Elephas maximus indicus: one gene and its partner. The protein of the gene in region 2 interacts with the protein of the main gene of each other region in a pairwise test. Links are inferred from orthologs where the notes say so. Each region holds a gene or a part of one and is shown on either strand. Other genes may lie near its edges. The genes, in order: leukocyte-associated immunoglobulin-like receptor 1 and PTPN6.

What was found.
Region 1: the proteins of PTPN6 (region 2) and leukocyte-associated immunoglobulin-like receptor 1 interact in binary tests that used the Homo sapiens proteins (3 or more experiments, as listed by UniProt). The link is inferred for Elephas maximus indicus from reciprocal best matches to the Homo sapiens genes PTPN6 and LAIR1.

Annotation. Positions count from the first base shown.
Region 1 is NC_064829.1:92,515,890-92,528,305, reverse strand, and holds the start of leukocyte-associated immunoglobulin-like receptor 1, read right to left. Parts: upstream 6,129-12,416; 5' UTR 6,051-6,128; coding exon 6,017-6,050; intron 4,830-6,016; coding exon 4,794-4,829; intron 2,270-4,793; coding exon 1,985-2,269; intron 957-1,984; coding exon 879-956; intron 389-878; coding exon 266-388; intron 1-265. UniProt on the Homo sapiens protein: Functions as an inhibitory receptor that plays a constitutive negative regulatory role on cytolytic function of natural killer (NK) cells, B-cells and T-cells.
Region 2 is NC_064822.1:63,737,175-63,749,273, forward strand, and holds the start of PTPN6 (tyrosine-protein phosphatase non-receptor type 6), read left to right. Parts: upstream 1-7,606; 5' UTR 7,607-7,907; coding exon 7,908-7,921; intron 7,922-12,099. Other genes in the region: ATN1 (atrophin-1), read left to right, coding at 1-546, 825-1,047, 1,424-2,120, 3,004-3,147, 3,490-3,670, 3,854-3,887; C4H12orf57 (protein C10), read left to right, coding at 5,641-5,692, 5,991-6,167, 6,952-7,103. UniProt on the Homo sapiens protein: Tyrosine phosphatase enzyme that plays important roles in controlling immune signaling pathways and fundamental physiological processes such as hematopoiesis.

The DNA of each region.
Region 1 (12,416 bases), on a different chromosome or scaffold from region 2:
GTTGGATTCTTATACACAACAAAGAGAATATCACGAAGGAAATCAGGAAAACAATATCATTTATAATAGCCCCTAAAAAGATGAAATACTTAGGAAAGGACGGCAGTTCAAACTCGCCACCTGCTCCACAGAAGAAAGATGTGTCAATCTGCTTCTGTAAAGATTACAGCCTTAGAAACCCTATGAGGCAGTTCTACTCTGTCCTATAAGGTAGCTAGACGGCAAAGGTTATCAGTTGCAGAGTGGGGCAAATAGTAGACCTTACCCACTAGGGGGTGGTGTAGAGAGGCATTAAATTCTGACATCCGGGATCTGGCTTCCAGGGCTGAATTCAGACTCTTCCCCTTAATTGCCCTGTGACTCAGTGCAAGAACCTTTAACAGAGTTTCTGCATATCAAAATTTAAAAAAATGGGTGATGGATAGAAGCAGAGTAGTGTTAGGTGCATCCAGCTGGTTCTGACCCATAGCGACCCTATGTACAACAGAACAAAACACTGTCCAGTCCTGCCACATCCTCACAATCATTGCTATGCTTGATCCCATTATTGCAGCCACTGTGTCAATCCATCTCATTGAGGATCTTCCTATTTTTCACTGACCCTCTACTTTACCAAGCATGATGTCCTTTTCCAGGGACTGATCCCACCTGGTAACATACCTTCCTCATAATGTTGCTGTGAGAATTATATATTTTCAGTAGTGCTTGGCATAGAGTTAGTTTTCACTCAAAGCTAGTGTTACTATAGTCTTTGGGATATCCCTCATCCAGTGGATGTCGGTTCTTATTCTGATATTACTGGTCCCTGGTTCTAAGCCCAGGGTAGAGGGATGAGCCCCAGAGCCTAAATCCCAACACAGGGAACCCTAATAACCCACCTCCAGGCTGAGAACTCTGCCACTCAACAGGTGAGGAATGGAGTACTGTGGGTGAGGGGCTGAAAGATCCATGGTCTCCTGTGAACGGGGACAGAAGAAGGGTTTATAGTTTATATAAAAAAAAAAGTTTATATAGAGGCTGCTAATGGTCAGCCCCACTCAGCCTGGCCTTTCCAGTTCCAGAGAATATGACTCCAGGAGAAGTGACCTGAGAAAGACATCCCCCTGTGTCACTCTGCAGAGAGCTGATCACCCCCTTTGCACCTCCATCATGAGTTGTCTGGTCGTTTCCCCAACCTCAGTCCCATGTCCAGGGTGGTGGTATTCTGACCCTGGTCCTATCACTTCCTGTGAGACTCAAAGATCTGAGCCCAGGTAGGTGAGATCAAGGGCAAAAGACACAGGTAGGGAAGGTGGCAGAAGAGCAGACACTTGCTCCAACATTCTTGACCTCATAGAATCAGCATGGAGGCCCTGGGACCACATGCATTGGGTTGGAGCCTCCTCACTGGACCTTGACTCTAGGACCTCACCAGGGTCTGAGCACACACAAGGCAGTGCCTGTCTCACCCCATAGGTTCCCCCAAAGGACTGTCTACCCCTAGTCTACAGGCCATCTCTGGACAGTGTGGATCCGTTCAATGGGAGGGATGGACCACATCACAGGACAACATATTGCCTGAGGTCACAGTGCTTCTGGATCAATTTAAGGGACTATTTAACATGCCATCCCGGGCAAAAAGATGCACGTTCCTTTGAAGGGAATCCATCCTGCAACCATTCTATGGACAGAGGAACCAGAGGGGGCTGGGAATCCACTTGCCAGCCCATCGAGCAGTGTCCAACACTGTCCACCTTTTGATGCTGGAGTTGAATATCCAGGTATTCCACTGTGTCCACACGAGACACAAGTCTCCATGAACCTCAGCGGTGTCTGAAGTCAGAGGGGACAGGTGTACTGAGGGAGCCAGACAGGTGTGGGAGGAGAGGTTGGAGGAGGGTGGGGGTCTGCGGAGAGATGGTGGAGCTGGGGACAGGACCCAGGACCTGGGTACAAACATGAGGAAAGAGTCTGAGAGGGGTAGGGGCTCTGGATGCCTCCTCACCTGTCACCACCAGCTCCAGGAACTCACTGCGCTCAGAATAGGTATTCCCTGTAAAATAAAGGCAGTTATAACGCCCTGCAGTGTCTGTCGTCACTGAGTTGATGCGGAACCTAGCCTCTTTCTCAGTCCCAGAAGAGAGCTTCACATCTTGGTATGAGTTACTTTTACTCTTCTCCAGTCGGAATGCCTCAGCCCCACGAGGGCTCTGGCACACGAAGGTCACAGGCGTTCCCCAGCGGATCATAGAGCCTGGCTCGGCTGAGATGGAGGGTCTAGGCAGGCTCCCTAGGAAGGAATCAGAGCAAACACCTCAGAGTCCACTCGTGAGGAAATCACCATTCCATAAAATTCCCCCATTTTTTGCTGTACGATGCACTTGCTTTAGTAAATTTACAGAGTTGTGCGACCATCACCACAATTCAAGCTTAGAACATTTCCATCGTCCCCAAAAGACTCCTCACATCCATTTTAATTCTCATCACTGACGAAGTGTTTTCTCTACTTGACAATAAAGAGAGAGAGACTTGGTCACACCTTGGGTCTTTCTCATGCCACTCAGGAAGTATGTGTGTCCCAAAACCACACCAGATCCCACACGTCTCTGCAGAGCCCAGCTCTGTCCCTGCTCATGGCCACATTCCAGGGAATGAAGAGACAGCAGGGGGAGGCAAAGAATGGGGATGGCCAGGATGTTCATGGAGACATCTAAGGGAAGGAGGAGTCTGGGGTTGGCAGGAATGAGTCTGGGGCTGGGGCCAGTCCTCACTGGGATTGTGTGAGGTGTAGGGCCGGGGGCCTGCAAAGCTCTTATAGGCACCCAAGGAGAGGTATGGGTAACACGCCCAGCACAGGCGTGGTTCCCAGTGGACACCCAGCAAAAGAAGGCTCCCTGTTTCTAACGCAAATCTTCTGTTGAGCAATCATATCTGGGTTTTCCTGTGTATTTTCTACATCCATCTGAGCCTTATTTCCATTTCCTCCTTATTAAGCTTCTTGAAAAATCTTGGCCTCTCTCAACTTGGCTGACAAGGGTAGCGGAGAGAGGGGTTTGAAGCCCAGATACAAGAACGTTGCATTGAAGTTAGCAAAATCGGGTGGGAATGAGTCAGGATGGGCCTTGGCCCCATGACTTGGGTTGGTGGAGTTTCCATTCATGTATTCATTCCTTCGCTTATTCATTCATTCACTCACGTTCTCACTTCATTCATTTCATTCACTCATTCCTTCACTCACTCATTCTCTGATTCATTCATTCACTCACTCATTCATTCACCCACCCACTCATTCATTCCTTCAACTAAATACTAGTTCCTTCCCTCTCTGAGCTTATATATTCTTTGCATGTACCACTAATTCCACAATTATGAGAAGGTCAGGTATCATCCCAGCCCTCTTAGAGCTAAAAGCCTAGGAAGCAGGACAGACACTGATCAGTAATTGTCCAAATTTACACTACAAACTGTGACAAGTGTCCTCATGGGTGAGTCCAGGTATTGAGAGAGCCAACTGAAGGGAGCACTGACTCTTCTCTGAGGGTCTTTAAGCTGAGACCTGAGGGATGAGTTATCTCTGCTGAGCAGATAGGGGGTAGAAGAGAAGTCAGTGTACGAGAAAGTCATGCAGCGCAAACATGGGGTGTTTGAAAACCTGAAGGAAAGCCAGGGTGCCTGGAGATAAGTGAGGTGGTAGCATGGGGGCCAGGTGTGCCTGAGAAAATAGAGGTCAGATAAAAGAGAGTATGATTCTATCTGAAGATAAACCCTGGGAGGACTTCAAGGAAACATAAAATTTTGCCTTACAATTAAAAAAAAATTTTAACTGAAAAAATAAATAAAATGAAATAAAAATAAGTGAAAAATAAAATTTAAAGAAATAATGAAAAATATAAAATAAGTGAACATTTTTTACATAAAATAATTTGTTGTGAATTAAAACGATCATGGTAGTGCTTTTAAAATGCAAATAGCCACTGCTTTGGTGTGGAGAGGGAGTGGTAGAAAAGATAGCATGGGTAGATAGTGGAGGCAGGCCCACAGAGGGGTGGGGGGAATAGCGGCCATGTAACTGAGAGATGGAAGTGGCTTGGATGCAGTTGGGGAGAGAGTGTGCAAGAAGACTTGAGAAAAATGTAGGCGGTAAATCAACATTCTTTGGTGATATACAACATGTAGAAGTGTGAAGACGGGATCTAGGATGAATTCTCAGATTCTGCCTTTTGGGACTGTAATATTCCCTGTAAAGAGGATGCATAGGGAGGTCTTGGCTTGTATGGAGGAGTTCATGGCCAACTTTGAGCATGTTCAATCTGAATTGGTTTTGCTGCATTAAGTGGAGCTTCTAAGAAGATGTAGTCTCTGGTTGTTGCAAATGGTTAAGCACTTGGCCACTAACTGAAAGGTTAGTGGTTCGAATACACCCAGAGGCACCTCAAAAGAAAGCCCTGGTCATTTACTTCCAAAGAATCAGCCGTTGAAAACCCTATGGAGCACAGCTCTACTCTGACACACATTGAGTCGCCATCATGAACTGGTGTCAACTACTGTCGCTATGAGTCAGAATCGACTCAACGGCAATGGCTTTGGTTTTTTTCAGTTAGATAGCAAATGTTTTTCTGTTTTTGTTTTCTTAATAAGAAGACAGATGGAGAACAGTAAAGCGAACTGGGCTAGGGTCATACATGTGGAGTCATTTGCAATTTGGGGTATATCTAAGGGTCTCCCCCCAGTCCCTTCCTGAGTCAGCATCACTCTTACCCAACAGTTGCCCTTGGAGTGGAGAGGGAGCTGGGAAGTTTAAAGACATGACTCACCATTGTGTGCTTGGATCTCTGGTCCCAGACAGAGCACTGGAAGAGAAGGCCCAGTGAGAAAAATGCCTACCACCCTATATCCTAACAGGGATATTACCAAGGGAAGGCTTTGATGGGGGAAGAGGGGATTTGTCATCATTGTTATTGTTAGTTACTGTCCATTCCTTTCAGACTCATGGCAACCTCATGTGTGCAGAGTAAAACTACTCCACAGAGTTTTCAAGGCTGTGACCTTTCTGAAGCAGATCAACAGGCTCATCTTCCAAGTCCTGCTGGGTGGTTTCGAACTGCGAACCTTTCAGCTAGTAGCGGAGCACAAACCATTTGCACCACTATCTTAGTCATCTAGTGCTGCTATAACAGAAATATCACAAGTGGATGGCATTAACAAAGAGAAGTTTATTTCCTCACAGTAAAGTAGGCTAAAAGTTCAAATTCAGGGTATCAGCTCCAGGGGCAGTCTTTCTCTCTCGGTGGGCCTCCTCATCAGTGTTCCCCTGGACTAGGAGCTTCTCCATGAAGGGACCCCAGGTCCAAAGGAGGCGCTCTGCTCCCTGCAGTGCTTTCTTGGTGGTATGAGGTCTCCCCTCTCTGCTCACTTCTTTTTCTTTTTATCTCTTGTAAGATAAAAGGTGGTGCAGGCCACACCCGAGGAAACTCCCTTTACTTTGGCTTAGGGGTGTGACCTTAGTAAGGGTGTTAAACAATCCCACCCTAATTCTCTTTGGCATAAAATTACAATCACAAAATGGAGCACAACTACACAATACTGGGAATCACAGCCTAACCAAGTTGACACATATTTTGGAGGGACACAATTCAATCCATGACAACCATCCAGGGACCTGAAAGGGAATTTAGCCACCCATAATTTCCAAACCGGCCCTTTCCAACATTAGTCTGACTATATATATAACCCTTCTTCCTGCTCTGAAATAGTTTCAAGACAAATCCCCAAGCCCCCCCTTTCCAAATACATTAGTCTAGCCCTTCTTAAGTCTGAACTCGTCCCCACCCCCAATACTGGGTTCTGAGATGAAGCCTTCTGTGGTCAGACCTAGACCTGAAAGAGAGTTGAGTGCACAGACCCATGCAGAGGAGAGCTTTTCTTGCCCAGGTCCTAGAGTTTCCCAGATGGAGTCAGTACTGAGCAAGGAACTGGACTCCCGACACAGACTGGACTCCCCCATCCTCTAATTCTCCCTCCTCGGTCCCAGACTCACCAAGGCCCAGGAAAGTGGTGGGTGTAAGAGACATCACACAGTCCCGGAAGCCTGGCCTGCCCTGGAGCAGATGGAGATGGGCAGAGGCCTGAAGCAGACACAGCAAACAGGATGTATTTCTGGGGCTCTGCTTTGAGATTTCTATAGCAACAGCCTCCCAAAAAGAGGAAGAGTATTTTTTTCCCTCAGTACTTTGCACTCTTCTCACCCTTCCCCCCGAAAGGACAGGGTCGGAGGCTGTGGAACAACTTGGCTGCTGAAAAATATTTCATATTCAAATGCTTGTGCGAGACTGAATTTATTTCTAGATCAAATCCCCTACACGTTAACGCAAAATCTATGGGGCCAGGCTGAACACAGGTTATTAATCAAACTGACTTGAACGTCAGTCCCAACTCCACGAACTAATTACCATCTGTTCTTGGGCAAGACGTGATGCTATTTTAAGTCTCCAGTTCCTCATATTAAAAACGGGAAACATAAAACCCTCCTCCAAGTATTTAATAGTGTTGTCGTTAGTTGCCATTAAGTCGATTCCAACTCATGATGACCCATTTGTGCAGTGTAGAACTGTCCTTCGTAGGTTTTCAAGGCCTTGATCTTTTGGAGTTAAATCACCAGGCCTGTCTTCTGATGCACATTTGTGTGAGTTTAAACCACTAACCTTTTAGCTAATAGTCAAGTGCTTAACCATTTTCCCTACCCAAGGCCCTGAGCCAGGTATTTAGCACATCAAATATGTCAAACTGGTGGAAACAATAGAGACATCCACCAACAGATGAATGGATAAACAAAATGCGGTATATACACACAATAGAATACTACCCAGCCATACAGAGAAATGAAGTCCTGATGCATGCCACAAGATAGAGGAACCTTGAAGACATTTGCTAAGTGAGATAAGTCAACCGCAAAAGGACAACTACTACATGATCTCACTTATGTGAAACAGGCGCTTATATAGAAACCACAGATTACCGGTGTTTACCAGAAGTAGGAAGGAGGGGAAAATGGGAAGTTTTTGCTTAGGGGGTCACTGAGTTTATGTAAATGATGGTGGAATAACTCAGAAAAGGATAGTGATAATAGTTGCACAATATGAAGAATGTAATTAATGTCACTGAATTTTACATGTAGAAATTTTCGAATTGTCCTATGTTTTGGTGTGTATATTTTCACCACACACACACATACACACAAATATTAATGGGAGGTGAAAGCCTCAGAGTCAAACCAAGCTCTGAACCTGGCTCTCATCTTGAGGGCAATGAATCCAGTTTTGTTTTCATGGCCTTGTATGTTATAGGGGGCAAAAGATAAAACCCAGGGGTCGCCCCAGTTAAGGAGTCTAGGGACCCATTCCCTTAGTTAAGCCAGCTTCCAAAAGCTTCCACTTTGTAGTGAGAATGATTGAAATTACTCTCCAACTTTCGAGGGCTACAAGGAACACATCTGTTTTTGAAACTTAGCATTAAGAAAACCAAAAAACCAAACCAGCTTCCTTTGAATGAATTCCAACTCATGGCGACCCCATGTGAATCAGGGTGGAACTGCTCCATAGGGGTTTCAAGGCTGTGACGTTTCAGCACGAAATTGTCAGACCTTTCTTATGAGACGTCTCTCTGACCTGGACTAGAACCTCCAGCCTTTCAGTTAGTAGTCAAGATCTTAACCAGTTGCGCCACCCAGGGACTCCTTACCACAAAGCAAGAACTAAAAAGTTTCTTCCTGAAAATAAATCACTAATACCAGCCAGTCTTATGTATTTCTGTTTGTCTGGTCTTTTTCATTGTATATGTCCTTGTCTTTATCACCTAGTGCCGCTGTAACAGAAATACCACAAGTGGATGGCTTTAACAAAGAGAAGTTTGTTCTCTCACAGTCCAGTAGGCTAGAAGTCTGAACTCAGGGCGCTGGGTCCAGGGGAAGCCTTTCTCTCTCTGTCGGCTCTGGAGGAAGGTTCGTGTAATGCATCAGTCTTCCCTTGGTCTAGGAGTTTCTCAGGCTCAGGGACCCTGGGTCCAAAGGAAGAACTCTGATCCTGGCACTGCTTTCTTGGCGGTATGAGGTCTCTGAGTCTCTGTTTGCTTCCCTTTCCTTTTACGTCTTGTAAGATAAGATAAAAGGTGGTGCAGTCCACACCACAGGAAACTCCCTTTACATTGGCTCAAGGGTGTGACCTGAGCAAGGGTGTTACATCCCACTGTAAACATCTTTAACCGCAGTCAGAGATCATGATTTATAACACATAGGAAAATCACACAATGGAGGACAACCACATAATACTGGGAATCATGGCCTAATCAAGTTGACACATATTCTGGGGCAAGACAATTCAATCCATGACAGTCCTTCTGTGGGTTTCTTTCCCTCTCTTTTGCTGTCTGTCTTTCTCAATCCCCTCTCTACCTCTGGGTATTGCTTCGTCCCCTTTCTCTGCTTTCCCACCTCTAGTGGCTTTATGTCTCCATTCCTTACAAAGCTAGTCTTTGGTCCATTTATGGTTAGATCCATCCCCCAAGCTGTGCCTAATGTCAAGGAAGTGATCGTGACACCACCTTTCCTAAGCTCCTTTGTAAACTAGCAGAGTGGGGAGAAGAGTGGAGCCAGGCTATTTTCCCACGTTCTAACACACTCAAGACCTAGACAACGGTTTCTGTCCCATGGCTCCAGTTTCTGTCAGGCATAATTCTGAGTTTTATATGGTGACCTCTCCCAATGGGTTCAAGTAGCATTGCCTGCTCCCTATGGACCTCCACCTCCCTACACTTGCTAATCTCAATTTGCATCCCTCTCCCCTGTTCTGCTTCTCAGTTCTTTCACTTGATGCAGTGAGATGGCTCACTTTTGTGCAGTCTTTCTAGCCATGGTCTTGTAACCCCCACCCAAGTGACTGGGTGGGGCTATGTGATAGGTAATAGTAGCCCACCAAAGGGATTGGTTAGTTTTGCCACCCTACTGGGCTTGAAATGAGCCACCCTAGAGGTGGGAGAGAGAGGATCCTACCACACCAAGGAAGAACAGCCAGGATCCAGCACACCCTTTGGACACTGAATTGCCCTGCTGAAAAGTTCCTGGAATCAGGAGACAGAGAGCTGTAACTCTAAAGACAGAAGACTCGGCACAGACACTCAACAGCAGAGGCCAGCAGCAGGAGACAACATGGTGGGATTCCTGGCCCACAGAGAGAGAAACCTGAGTGCCTTTGGTAAGAGGCAGAGGGCCCAGGGGAGGTGTTTCTCCTAGCACAGCTGGGAAGAGGCTATCCTGATGGGAATAACTGTATCCTGAGTGTTACTGAGCCTGAATTATAAGTGTTACTTCCCTAATAAACCTCATAATTGTGAGTATTGTCTGTGAGTTCTGGGTGGCCATTGCAATGAGTTATCAAACCCAACAGAGAAGTACAGAGTGCTATGGGAGGGAAAATTGGGGTTTAAATTAGTAAAGATGGCAGGGAGAGGAGGCATGTCTGACCTCTGCATCATAGGAATCAGCTTTGGGCTATTGATCTTGATTCTCCTTCCCCCTTGTGAAGTTAGAGGAGGTCAGACTCTGCTCCTGTGCCATTTCTACACTTGGACAATGGCTTCTATGCATTAAATCATCCTCATCTCTTTATGGAAGACCTTCATCAGTAAATATTTTTAATGGGATAAATATACTTGGCCATTTCAACAATCATCACATGTACAGTTCAGTGACATTATGCTCATCGTGTTGTTCAACCATCATCCTTATTCGTTCCCATATTATACCATCACCCTTAACAGAAGCTCAGTGTACCCCAAGCATTGTGTTTTCCTCCCTCCTCCCCCAGACATTAATAAATTTTAATCACCTTTATTGAAGAATAATTTATAAACATTCAACTGCATCCATTTAATATATACAATTCAATTATTTTCGACAGTTCCCTAAAACCACCATCAAATTCAAGATTTCTATCACTGGCAAAAGATTCATTACGCTTCTTTGCCTTCTGACAACTACTGGTTATTTTTTCTTTTTGTAAAATACTTACTTGTTTGCTAAACAATTTTTTAAAATAAACTTCTTATCTGGGAATAATTTTAGATTTGCAAAGTTTCAGACAGTTCCCATATACCCTTCATCGAACTTTCCCTAATGTTAACATCTTACACACTGTGGTACGCTTGTCAAAACCAAGAAATTAATGTTGGTTTATTAATAAACCAACGAAGCCTAAGTTTATTTAATTAATGAAACTGCAGGCTTTATGTGAATTTCACTAGTTTTTCCACTAATCTTCTTTTCCTGTTCCAGGATCCAATTCAGGGTACCATATTACATTTAGCTCCTCCTCTTTTAAATACATAGAAAAGTTTTCTGTTTTCCTGGTTAGACTGATGGGTGCTGTCACCAAACCTGAATACTGTATGCCAAGTGAGGATCTGGGGACAGGCTTTCTGCTGACCACATAAAAAAGGAATAGTGAAAGCATTCACATCTATAGGTTCCTCCACAAACCAAGGCCATATGGTTCATTAGAGCAGTTATTGCAGATTTTTCCTTAAGGAGATTAATGTGAAGCTGTCACTCTTCACTATTCTCAGAAGACCCCTCTACCTTTACATTCTTCTAAGACTTTTGTCCCCAAAGTGGAGTACACTTGTATCCAAGGCTTCTTAGAGGTGTAAGGAGAAAGCACCTCACCACAGGGTAAGCATGGCACATTTTCCTCAAACAATTTTACTTGGATCAACAAAGATACAGAAAATCTAAGGGCAGCAATCAACCAAATTAACCTCATAGACATATATAGAACACTCCACCCAATGGCAGTAAAGTACACATCCTTTTCCAACACACTTGGAATGTTCTCCAGAATAGACCACATCTTAGGTCACAAAGCAGCCCTCAACAAAATCTGGAACACTGAGATAACACAAAGTGTCTTTTCTGATCACAACACTATCAAAGTAGAAATTAATAACAGGAAGAACAAGGAAAAAAATGAGATACATGGAAACTGAATAAAGCCCTTCTTAAAAACCACTGGATAATAGAAGAAATCAAAGATGGAATCAAAAAGTTCCTAGAATCAAATGAGAATGAAAACACATCATACCGTGTCTTTAGGACACAGCAAAGGCAGTGCTCAGAAGTCAACTTATAGCAATAGATACGCACACCAAAAAAGAAGAAAGGGACAAAATCAAAACATTAGCTACACAACTCAAACCAACAGAAAGAGAACAGCAAAAGAAGCCCACAGCCACCAAAAGAAAGGAAATAATAAAGATCAGAGCAGAAATAAATGAAAGAGAGAACAGAAAAACAATGGAAAGAATCAACAAAACTACAAGTTGGTTCTTTGAAAGTATCAACAAAATTGACAAACTTCTTCATTGCAAATACCTTTTTTCACCAAAATAAATGGAGACTACACACGTGGACCTCACCAGATGGAATACACAGGAACCAAATAGACTACATTTGTGGAAAGAGACCACGGAAAAGTTCAATATCATCAGTCAGAACAAGGCCAGGAGCCAACTGCGGAACAGACCATCAATTATTCATATGCAAGTTAAAGTTGAAACTGAAAAAAAATTAGAACAAGACCACAAGAGCCAAAGTATGACCTTGAATATATTTCACGTGAATTTAGAGACCATCTCAAGCATAGATTTGATGTACTGAACACAAATGACCAAAGACCAGACAAATTGTGGCATTACATCAAAAACATCATACATGAAGAAAGCGAGAAGTCATTAAAAGACAGGAGAGAAAGAAAGGACCTAAACAGATGTCATAAAAAACTCTGAACATCAAGTAGCTAAAGCAAAAGAACAAAATGACGAAGTAAAAGAGTTGAGCAGAAGATTTCAAAGGCAAGCTCAAGAAGACAAAGTAAAATATTTTGATGACATGTGCAAAGACTAGGAGATAGAAAACCAAAAGGGAAGAACACACTTAACATTTCTCAAGCTGAAAGAACTGAAGAAAAAATTCAAGCCTTGAGTTGCAATACTGAAGCATCCTACAGGGAAAATATTAAATGATGCAGGAAGCATCAAAATAAGATGGAAGGAATACACAGAGTCACTATAGTAAAAAAATTGGTGGACGTTCAACCACTTCAGGAGGTAACATATGATCAGGAACTGATGGTACTGAAGGAAGAAGTCCAAGCTGCGCTGAAGGCATTGGCGAGAAACAAATCTCCAGGAATTGACGGAATACCAATTGAGATGTTTCAACAAATAGATGCAGTGCTGGAAGTGCTCACTCATCTGTGCCAAGAAATTTGGAAGACAGCTACCTGGCCAACCAAATAGGAAAAAAAAAAAAAAATAGAAGAGATCCTTATTTATGCCTATTCCCAAGAAAGGTGATCCAACTGAATGTGGAAATTATCAAGCAATATCAT
Region 2 (12,099 bases):
CCCATGTTCACACCCCTCTCCTTCCCAGGGCTCCCAAGGGGCCCCCTACCCCTTCCCACCCGTGCCTCCTGTCACCACGTCCTCAGCTACCCTTTCCACGGTCATTGCTACGGTGGCCTCCTCGCCAGCAAGCTACAAAACGGCCTCCCCACCCGGGCCCCCACCGTATGGAAAGAGAGCACCGTCTCCTGGGGCCTACAAGACAGCCACCCCACCCGGATATAAGCCGGGGTCCCCGCCCTCGTTCCGGACGGGAACCCCACCAGGCTACCGAGGCACCTCGCCACCCGTTGGCCCAGGGACCTTCAAGCCAGGCTCACCCACTGTGGGGCCCGGGCCGATACCGTCCGCGGGGCCCTCAGGCTTGTCCTCCCTGCCACCACCGCCTTCGGCCCCTGCCTCAGGGCAGCCCCTTAGCGCCACACAGATCAAACAGGAGCCGGCTGAGGAGTACGAGCCCCCCGAGAGCCCGGTGCCACCGGCCCGCAGCCCCTCACCACCTCCCAAGGTGGTAGACGTGCCCAGCCATGCCAGTCAGTCTGCCAGGTGAGTGGCCTGGGCGGGGTGCGGGTGGGCCGACGACGAAGGGGTGACAGCGGGAGGAGGGAGTAGGCACGGAAGGGGCTTTGCATTCGTGATGTTTTTCAAAGTGCTGTGGGTCCTCTGCCCTCTAGGCCCTGAGGGGACTAGGGGACAAAAGCTCACGGCCTGCGGGGACTGCTTTTGGGACTGTGGGGTGCATAAGGCTTCTTGGGGCTGCATCGCCGCGGGGTCGCCGGGGCAGCTCCAAAGGGCTGAACGCGCGCCGCTTCCGCGTCCGACAGGTTCAACAAACACCTGGACCGCGGCTTCAACTCGTGCGCGCGCAGCGACTTGTACTTTGTGCCGCTGGAGGGCTCCAAGCTGGCCAAAAAGCGGGCCGACCTGGTGGAGAAGGTGCGGCGCGAGGCCGAGCAGCGCGCGCGCGAAGAAAAGGAGCGCGAGCGTGAACGCGAACGCGAGAAGGAGCGCGAACGCGAGAAAGAGCGCGAGCTCGAGCGCAGCGTGGTGAGTGCGTCACAAGATGCGCCACCCGCCTTCTTTCCCTCCTTTGCGCTGCCCAGGGAGGCTGGCTCAAAGGGTGGGGGAGTGGTGTCGCCACCTGTCGGAGAGGAGGGATCACTACAACTCGAAATAGAGACCAAAAGGATTCCAGCTGAAGGAATCTTTTTGCATTAATGGTTTGGGGGAAGGCAAGGTCAGGTGGGACTACCTGTGGGTCTCAGGAAGGGCAGCTATCCAGGGGGGCAGAGAAGTTCCTGGTAGTCATAGTGCTGGTGTTGTGAGGCATTTTGGTAATCAGCTGCTGAGACAAATGGGCAGCTAAGAACTAGCTACTTTCCAGAATTGCCTTTTTGATTGCATTTCTCCGTGTGTCCCACAGAAGTTGGCGCAGGAGGGCCGTGCTCCAGTGGAGTGTCCATCTCTGGGCCCAGTGCCCCATCGCCCTCCATTTGAGCCAGGCAGTGCTGTTGCTACAGTGCCCCCCTACCTGGGTCCCGACACTCCAGCCCTGCGCACCCTCAGCGAATATGCCCGGCCCCATGTAATGTCTCCTGGCAATCGCAACCACCCATTTTATGTGCCCCTGGGGGCAGTGGACCCAGGACTCCTGGGTTACAATGTCCCAGCCCTGTACAGCAGTGACCCAGCTGCCCGGGAAAGAGAGCGGGAAGCCCGTGAGCGAGACCTTCGTGACCGCCTCAAGCCTGGCTTTGAGGTGAAGCCCAGTGAGCTGGAACCCCTGCACGGGGTCCCTGGGCCAGGCCTTGATCCCTTCCCCCGACATGGGGGCCTAGCCCTGCAGCCTGGCCCACCTGGCTTGCACCCTTTCCCCTTTCATCCAAGCCTGGGGCCCCTAGAACGAGAACGTCTAGCACTAGCTGCTGGGCCAGCCCTGCGGCCCGACATGTCTTATGCCGAGCGGCTGGCAGCTGAGAGGCAGCATGCAGAAAGGGTGGCAGCCCTGGGCAATGACCCGCTGGCCCGGCTGCAGATGCTCAACGTGACCCCCCATCACCACCAGCACTCCCACATCCACTCGCACCTACATCTGCACCAGCAGGATGCCATCCATGCAGGTGAGACCCCCCATCTTCCTGCCCTAGCCTCTTTACCCTGGCAGGTGACCAGGTTCTTCTGTTTCTCAGGCGAGACCTTCGCCTGACATGAGCCTTTTTCCTGCAATTGCTGCCTCCTCTCATCCTCCCAGCCTGTCTTCTCATGCCCTAGCCTAGCTGCAGAGCCTATATGCCCCACACTCCGGGCCTCTCCTTAGTCTAGCATCCCACTCATGATAGAGGCCCAAGCTGGAGCTCCGTGAAGGAACACCACCCTTCTACCCTTACAGCTCCTTTCCCCAAGCCCTTCACTTACCTGTTTTCTTGTTCCTCCATTTTCAACTCTATTGTGTCTGCCACTCTTTCTTGCAATCTTCTCGTCCCCTTCCAGATGGAGGTCTTTCACATTCCTCCCCACCTCTAGATCTGTTATCTTCCAGAAAGAACCCCACAGCTTTGGCTTTGGATGTTATAGGTGATAATGAGCTTTACTTACTGTCCTTTCACCATATTTCTTATTGTCCAGAACTTTGCTTTGCATAGCCTTACAGCTGTGTTCATCCTAGGCTCCCTTGTGCCTTCTCTCTTAACCTCCTTTGTCTTTCTGTCTCATTGTTTAAACTTCCATTTATCCTTCCTCATTTCCTCTAAGCAGGCTGATTCTTTCCTTCCTTTTGCTCAGACCCCTCTGGCAACTATAATTTCCTGTGTTCTCTCATCCATATACTTCAGTGGGGTCTAGTCCTGTCCACCTTCCGACCCCCCTAGTTCTTTCATTCTGCCTTCTATTCCGTTCTGGATCTCCCTGTTTCACTGCCCATTTCTCTTCCCAGGTTTCCCTTCATCTAAATGTATAGTCTTCCCAAGCCTGCCTTCTGATGACACCTTCTTCTTTGCCCTCTAGCCTCTGCCTCGGTGCATCCTCTCATTGATCCCCTGGCTTCAGGGTCTCACCTTACCCGGATCCCCTACCCAGCTGGGACCCTCCCCAACCCCCTTCTTCCTCATCCTCTGCACGAGAATGAAGTTCTTCGTCACCAGCTCTTTGGTAAGGATAGAGGTTGGGAGCAGGGAGGCTTTTAACGAGGGAAGGGCAGAAAGAAGGAATTTGAGTAGTAGGATCGACCTAGCTGGGCTTTGGGAGGGATGAGGAAGTGCCCAGAGAAGCTGGGAATGGGAGTAGGAGAGCTGAGGCCCTGTCTCAGCAGGCATATGTTTTCATGCTGGGCTACAGAGGTTTGCATCCTGGCTCCTACCACTGACAACTTGCAAGACTAGGTGTGTTACCTAAATTCTTAGTCTCGGTTTCCTCTGTATGTAAAGTGACTGGCTGTCCCCTGGCCCATAGTGGGTGCTCAGTACCTATCAGTCATGTGCTTCTTGCCCACAGCTGCCCCCTACCGGGACCTGCCGGCCTCCCTCTCTGCCCCCATGTCAGCAGCTCACCAGCTGCAGGCCATGCACGCACAGTCTGCTGAGCTGCAGCGCCTGGCACTGGAGCAGCAGCAGTGGCTGCACGCCCATCACCCCCTGCACAGCGTGCCACTGCCCGCTCAGGAGGACTACTACAGGTATGGGGTACCCTGGGCCAGGAGTGGGGAAGTGGATTCTGCCAGCCTGGGATGGGGCTTGGGCATGGGATAGTAGGGCTCTAGGCTCCTGGAAAAAGAACGCCCCACCCGCATCTGTGAGAGGGGCCAGGTCAGGACTGACCTCAGGCTCATCTTGGCTCTGGACATGCCCTCTCCTCCTAGTCACCTGAAGAAGGAAAGCGACAAGCCGCTGTAGAACCTGCAACCAAGAGAGCAGCCATGGCCCCTGCATCTGGACCTTGGAGCCCCCCCCCCCCTCAGCCTGCCACAAAGAACCCAGGAGAGAAAACTGCTCAGTTGCAGGGCCTTGGCAGCTGGGCAGTTGGGAAGAGGAAGGGACAGACAGAAGGCCAAGGCTGGTGTGGGAAGGTGGGGAGGTGGGGAGGGTGGAGCAGAAGCGCACAGTATCTTGGACCAGGTCCCTCTTCCTTGTACCCCAGCTTTCCTCCTTCCTCAAGCCCAGACCTTGGTGGCCATCGCCCCCTCCCCCACCCCGTTGGTGTGATTATTTCATCTGTTAGATGTGGCTGTTTTGCGTAGCATCGTGTGCCGCCCCTGCCACCTCCCCCAAATCCCTGTGTGCGCACCCCCTGCGATGTATGCCCATCCCCCTCTTCCACATTAATAATTTATATATATAAATATCTATATGATGCTCTTTAAAAAACATCCCAACCAAAACCAAACAAACATCCTCACGTCTCCCCCGGAAGATGGCTACGACTCTTTCTTTGCGGGCTGTGGGGTGGGGTGGGGGTCTCTGCGCAGCAATGCCCAGAGAAAAAGCTGTGGAACCTGAGATTGGAGAAATGGGAGGGACAGGACCTGGGGAAGGAACTGGGTGTAGGGAGCCTGCAGAGCTGGAGAGGGGATCTTGGAAGAAGGATGGTTATACTGGGCAGGAGCGCCATGCCCCACCTGGGGTGCTGCCACTGCACGCCTTCCAAGGCTGGGGAAGTTGAGCTGTTAACAGGCCTGCAACAGGCCCGCCTGTGACATGGTCCTGTCTAAGGAACTACCCTTAACCCTTGGGGGTGTTCCTGCCACTGTTCCACAACTAGGGGCCACCAGAGTCCTCTGGAACAAGGGTTTCAGAGCTGGATCCTTTCTGTGGAATAGTTTGAGACAGTTATGAAGTGGATGTGGGCGTAGTTTCAAGTAGGTCAATGTGATTAGAACTCTAATTACCCTTCGGTTTTGAAGGAGTGGGTGACACTTTCAAAGGGCTGGAGGGGAAATAAGGGCGTTACGCTGCAGCGCCCACCCCTGAACAAGGCCATTTTAGGAAAGCACAAGAGATGCGCTTGCTCCCAGCGTTTATTGCTGCGAATCACAGGCTTCGTTCTTAAAAACTAAGGGGGGGGTGTGTGGCTGGCTGCTGTTTCAGCCAATCAACACCGCGCTCATTTGCATAGGCTCGTAACAAATGTTCACAAACTCTAGAAATGAATAATTGAAGTTAGTTCCTTAGAATATTGTTTTTTCTATTGAAAGCTAGTGGGCTCCGCTGCTTAGACATTACTGACTATTCAAAAAACTCCGCAGTCAGCTCACCCTCAGCTATAGTGGAGTCCAAGGATATCCCACGTTCTCTCCAAGACATATTTCTTCAGTGTTACAGCTCTTTTAGAATTTGTCTAGTAGGTCTTCTAGTTTTTCTGGAAGACCCTCCTTATGTGTTATTTTCAACAATAGACTTAGGTTTATTCGGGTGTGTGTGTGGTTTTTGTTAGTCCTGTTGCGTTAAGATATAAAACCCGTTCTGGTTATTTAGTTTTCCTGGAAGATTCGCGAACTGGGCCATTAAAACTACGCGGTAGCGGCTTCCGGCTGCGGCTGATGCTGCTTCCCATCCGCCCCCCACCGGCCTTACGAGCAGCTGTAGGAGGTGGCTTTTTCTTGGGGAGCATTCCCGCGGCTTCGCAGCACGTGCGGTTTTTTAGTTCTATATGGCGTCTGCCTCGGCCCAACCCGCGGCCCTGAGCGCCGAACAGGCCAAGGGTGAGAAGCATCCCTAATCCCCGGGGTGGGCTGTCTGCCGGGGGAGGATACGGCCGAGGATAGGGAGGGCAATGGCTGCAGTCGACCGGTGTGGGGGGTCCCCGCGTACCATTACTGTCCTTCTGTTAACTGGGGTCCTTGCGCCCTGGAGCGAAGGATTCCGGGACCGGATTTATCGGGTTACCAACGGCTTAGTCCCCTAATTCTCTGTCCCTTTCCCTGGGCTCTCGACCGGGCTCGCTGGTGGTGCTCCGACGCCTACCACGGTACACCTTCCTGGGGTGCCTCTGGGGCGCAGTGGTGTTGGCCGAGGTCATCCAGGCGTTCTCGGCCCCGGAGAATGCCGTGCGCATGGACGAAGCTCGGGACAACGCGTGCAACGACATGGGCAAGATGCTGCAATTTGTTCTGCCCGTGGCTACGCAGATCCAGCAGGAGGTCATCAAAGCCTATGGCTTCAGCTGCGACGGGGAAGGTGGGTTGGACGGGCGGCGTCAAGGTGGGTCGGGGAGAGGGCGCTGGATCGGCTGGGCCCCTGAACTGTGGTTCCCCTTGTTGCCACACGGCGGCAGCCACAATCTGACTAACAGCATTGGCACTCAGGGCGCAGGGTCTACCCTGAACTTGTGCCAGGCGAATTCCTACAGGAGCATTTTGTAGTTACCGTTAATCACTCTAATATCCTTCTTAATCACTCTAATATCCTATTTTAAGATGAGAGACAGAGTCCAATAGTAAAGTGGCCAGGGTCACAGCAGAGCTAGATTTGAACCCAGTTCTGCTAGCGTTTTAGTGAGAAGGCTGCATCACGAGAGCTAGCTCTGCAGCGCCTCCAAGGTGTTGAAACGGTAATCTCTGTTTGGGGGTTGGTGGTGAAATTTCCTTGGTGAAGTCACGCTGCGTCGCAGCCCTCCTGTGCCCCGTTGTAGACCTTGGACCTTGGACCTTGGACCTCTTGGGTATTTATACTTTGGATTCTTGTGACTAAACTGCTAAAATGGCTCACCTGAGAGTGAGATGCACACTGCTTCGGATATTTTTCAGTCACTGTATTCCTATCCAGCTGTGCTCAGCGTGGACCAGGAAGTGGTTGATCCAGGCCACACCGGAGAGAGGCCAGCCTGTGTCCTGTTTCGCAGACAGCTACCTGGCCAGTTGGGGAGCAGCCAGTGACTCATATCCCATCCGCATACTCCTCCCACCATCTTGGGTATGCCAGTCACCAGGGTGTGGGGTTGACTCTCCACTCCCCCTTGTAGGTGTCCTTAAGTTTGCCCGCTTGGTGAAGTCCTACGAAGCCCAGGATCCTGAGATTGCCAGCCTCTCAGGCAAGCTGAAGGCTCTGTTCCTGCCGCCGATGACGCTGCCACCCCATGGGCCTGCTCCCGGTGGCAGCGTGGCTGCCTCCTGAGGGGCTTGGCCCTCCCCTGTGCCCTGTGCTGATAAGGGAGTGGAAGACCTTAGCTTCCCAGAGGATAATAAATGTGCCTGTGACTTGGCCTTAGTGTCAGTCTTTTGATACCTTAACAGCCCCCCACCTCCTGTCTCCAGATTCCCTCACCAGTCCAGGCTGCCCCACCTCTCCCTTTCCAGATCTTTCCTATGCTCCCTGCTGGGCCCAGCCCTGCACCAGGCTCCTCACTTCTCCCCACCCAAGGAAGGGTAAGAGGGTGGGCTGGCCCTTCGACACACTGGGTGGGTGGGTAGGTGGGTGGAAGGGCCTGCATGGTGGTGCCTCCTCTAAGGCATTGGGCTTCCAGGGCTTTTACTTAGGCCCCTTGGTACCCACATTGGTCGGTTTTCCCTTAGCCAGGGCTACTTCCTGGTCTTTGCCCCATCTGCCCTCCCACTGCTCTGCCAGGTGGAGCTCTGGGTGGCTCCTCCCCTCAAAGGGAAGGAGGCCCTGGACAGGCTGACAGGCCTGCTGGACGACTGGGACTGGACCACTGAGCGGGACTAGAGGGGGAAGTGGGAAGTGGGCTGCTGTGGGCTGCCTGAGGCTAACCCCGCCCCACCTGTCCCTGCTCCAGGATCTTTAAGTCCAGGGGCTTGTCCCTGCGGTGCCATTGGCCTGGCAACCTGGTTTGAGGAGGAGGTAGCTGAGTTCTGAGTATTCTTCCTCACCTGGCCTGGGTCACTGTGCTCTGCTGTGGCCCTGGCTTGGCCCCACCCCCTGCGGCTCTCTGCCTGTTACTCCCCCAAACTTTCCTGGGAGATGCTGTCCCGTGGGTAAGTCCCCTGCCCCACCTGGGTCCCACAGGCTCCTGTTAGTTTGGGAGGGAGGGTTTCATGCTCATTCCTGACAGGCTATGTGACCATGAGCCTGACTGGGTCAGCTTCCTGTTCCTACATACCCTTCATCTCCCCAAGGTGCACGGACCCGCATGCTCATTCATGCTCCTCTGCCCCCTGCCTTTTTTATTATACTTTATGCCTGACAGAGGTATGGTCTATTCTCACTGTCTCACATTTCCACCTCTAGCCTCTGGTCCCCTGCTTCTGCCTCCTGCTTAGGATCTACCGCCCCTAGGTAACCCACATCACCTCAAGCATGACATTTCTGAAAGGCAAACCTGAGAAAGCTCTCCCCCGTCCACTCAGCTCCCCCCCTGCGCTTCCTAGTCTCTAGGTTTGGTTCCCTTAACTGCCCCCTCATCATTCATTCAACAAATAAATATTGAGCATCTGTTATGAGCTCAGGCTGCTAACCAAAAGTTTGGCAGTTCAAATCCACCAGCTGCTCCTTGGAAGCCCTATAGGGTGGCTATGAGTGAGATTATGTGCTAGGTACTGTTTAAGGTGCTGGGAATACTGCAGTAAATAAGGCAAAAACAGTCCCTGCTCTCATGGAGCTTACATTTTAGTGTGAAGTTGCAGACCAACCAACCCAATAAATAGAATCATTTCAGATATTCATAAATGTTATGCAGAAAATGAAACAGCTTCATATGAGAGTAAGTGCCAGGGGGGCCAGGGGCATTACTAGCTGGAATAATCAGGGAGGGCTTTTCTAAGGAGGTGGCATTTGAGCTGAGGCCTGGATGGTAAGGAAGATCCAGCCATGTGGTGATCAAGGGTCTAATATTCCTGACAGAGGGCATGGCAAGCACAAAGGGCCTGAAGAGGGAAAAAACAAGCAAAAAAAGGGCAGTATGCCTGAAGCAGAGTCAGCTAGTGGGAAGGGAGGCAGGGCCAGGGCAGGTTAGGCCTTGTTGAAGCATGGTTATTTTAAGTGAAAACCTGTTTAGAGAGTGTTGGTGAGTTTGTGGGTTGGTTGGCCCTCAAGTCCTGCTGATTGTTGCTTCCCACACTCACACATCTGCCCCTTCCTTTCTCTATGCTGCCTCCCCCAGTGCACGCCCTTGTCACAGTCAGCTCCACTGACTGGGTTCTTACTGAGTCTTCTGGCCCTTGATCCCTTCCATACCCCGCCACGTCATTTCCCTAAAGTGGCTTGGCAAGGCCTCCACCTGTGCAGAATCCTTCCTTGGTTCCTCAGCCTGGCCTTGTAAAACCCTCCGTAACTGGGTCCAGACTCTCAGAACAGCTTTGCTCTGGCCGCCCTGCTCCACTCACACCCCAGCCCTGCTCCTCAAGTGGGTCCTATGCAGGCCACCTCTGTGGCTTCGCAGATGCTGCCCCTGGTGCAGTGCCTGCTCACCTCTCCTCCATAATGGCTGTTCGGTGCCCACCCCACCTGCCCGCTGAAGCCTTCTGCAGCAGCATGGTTGGTGTGGTAGAAGGGGCAAGGCTCTGGTTTGTCTGCCTTCCTACTCAGTAGCTTGTGACCTTGGGCAAGTTCCTTAACCTTCCTCTCAGTTTTTGTTTCTAAAAATAGACTAATAATGCTAAGTAGAGTTGGGAGGCCAGCGGTGGTTCAGTGGTAGAATTCTATCCTTCCATGAGGGAGACCCAGATTCGATTCCAGGCCCACGCGTCTCATGCACAGCCAGCGCCCATCTGTCAGTGGAGGCTTGCGTGTTGCTGGGATGCTCAGCAGGTTTCCACGGAGCTTCCAGACGAAGATGTTCTAGGAAGAAAGGCCTGGTGACCTACTTCGGAAAATCAGCCAGTGAGAACCCTGCGGATCACGATGGTCTGAATGGCTGTGCGTGGGGTTGCCATGAGTTGGGGACCAACTTGGCAGCAGCTGGCAACAACAACAACAACAAAATAGGGTTGGCATGAGGATTAATGATATAATGTAAAATCTGTTGGCACTAAAACCCTACTACATATCAGCTCTTTAAGTATTTGGGAAATGCTGTTAAGCCCATCTTCGAGGTGGGGATACAGAGGCTCGGAGAAGTTAACTAACTTTCTAGAGGCTATTTCACCTTGTTTGCTCTTCCAGACTGCCTGTCTTCCTGATCTCTATCTTTATCTCCCTACTTCCCAAAGGGGTAATTTTCTCTTCTGAATTACCACGCACTTAAATTTTTTTTTTTTTTTTTTTGCTTTTCTAACTCTCAGTCTCCCTGAGCCTGTACCCTCGTTTTAAAAAGTGGGGAAAATAATTCCTACATCACAGGGCTGTCTGAGGCCCAAAGGAGAATGTGTGTGTGCTCTGCAATTCTAGAACACTATGCCAAGGTCGTTATTATTTTTTATTTTCCTGCCAAGGGGCAGCAGGGACCATACATCTTGTTTGAGTCTGTCTTTTGGCTTGGGACCCTTCAGAGAAATTCCTGCCTCTTGGATGGGTCAGGAGTTTTGGGGTGCCTCAACCTTGGTGGGTTTCCTTCCCACCAAGTGGGTTTAAGCCCCAGAAGGAGAGTGGTTTATGGCCAGGGTGCAGCGGGTGTTTGGTTCTGAACATGGACCTGGAACTTCGTGTGTAGTGAGGACTGTGTGTCCGTGTGTGGGTATTCGCGCCAGATCAGGTGTGTGTGTGTGGATAGACACGGACAATAAGATGCACGTAGTGGGACCGTTTATGCATAAGTGGTGTGCTTATGTGTGTGTGTGTACTCATCTGTATATGACAAGCAGGATGTGTGTGTGTGTGTAGGACCAGAAGGCTGTACTTGTGACAATGTACGTACATGTGTATGATGAGTTTGTTTATTGGACATTGACTCTGTACCAGTATTGTGCTAGGCTTTGGGCATTCTGAGGGACAAGTCGGCCTCAGCACAGTGGGGGCTGCACATGCTTTTCCTGCCCCGTGGGTCGCTGTATGAAACTGCAGGGGTGGTCAGTGTTGAACTACACCATAGACAGACCAAGAAGTTCCCAGGACATAAGAAAGAGGGGAACACACACACAAAGCAGGGTGTGGGGGGTGGGGAGGGAAAGCTTTTTTTTGGAAGCTTCAAAAAATGATCAAAGTAGTTGTCACTGGAAAATTAGACTTTTGTTGGGCTTTAAAACTCTGTGGAAGCCCTGGTGGCATAGTGGTCAAGAGCTACGGCTGCTAACCTAAAGGTTGGCAGTTCGAATTCACCAGGTGCTCCTTAGAAACTGTATGGGACAGTTCTACTCTGTCCTATAGGATCTCTATGAGTCAGGACCGACTTGACAGCAACAGGTTTGGGTTTTTTTTCGGTTTTTTAAAAGTTTGTTATTTATTTTCTTGTTAGTTTGTGTTGAGGCATGACATATATAATGTGCGTAAATATTAAGTATACGGTTTCATGAACTTAACATTTATACATGCTCTTGTAAACACTACCCAGTTCAAAATGCACCCTCAGTGCCCAAGAAGCTTCCCAGAAATTGCTGTCTCCTAGTCAATTTATTTATTTTTATAAAGGTAATATATGTCCATAGTGTAACATTGAAAAAGGTATTAGGGAGAAGCAAGTGTCTCTTGGAGACAGAGGTGGTTCAGTGGCAGAATTCTCCATGCCGGAGACCTGGGTTTGATTCGCAGCCAGTGTATCTCATGCGCAGCCTCCACTCGTGTGTTTGTGGAGACTTGCGTGTTGCTATGATGCTGAACAGGTTTCAGCGGAACTTCCAGACTAAGATGGACTATGAAAAAGTCCTGGTGTTTCCTTCCGAAATCAGCCAGTGAAAACCCTGTGGATCACAATGGTCCGATCCCATTGCCCATGGGGCTGCCATGAGCTGAGGTAATGACAGCTAACATGGCAACATGTCCCTCCCAGGCCTATTCTCCAGCCACCCAGTTTCCTTTCCTAGAGGAAGCCACCAATATGTGCATCCTTTGTTAGGCTTCTTTCCTCTTGTTTTGGTTTGGTGGTCTTGGTGTTTTGAATTACATACAGACAGCATCATAAGCTTTTAGTATTTAGGGCCTCTAAAGGTCAACCAGCTCTGAGACTATCAGCCGTATCAAGGACCTCAGCCCCTCAGCCCCCAGTCCCCAGCCCCCAGGAGACAGGCCACCTGGTCAGAGTCCTGGGAGCCCTGAGCTCTGGTTGATTCAGACCAGACCTGCC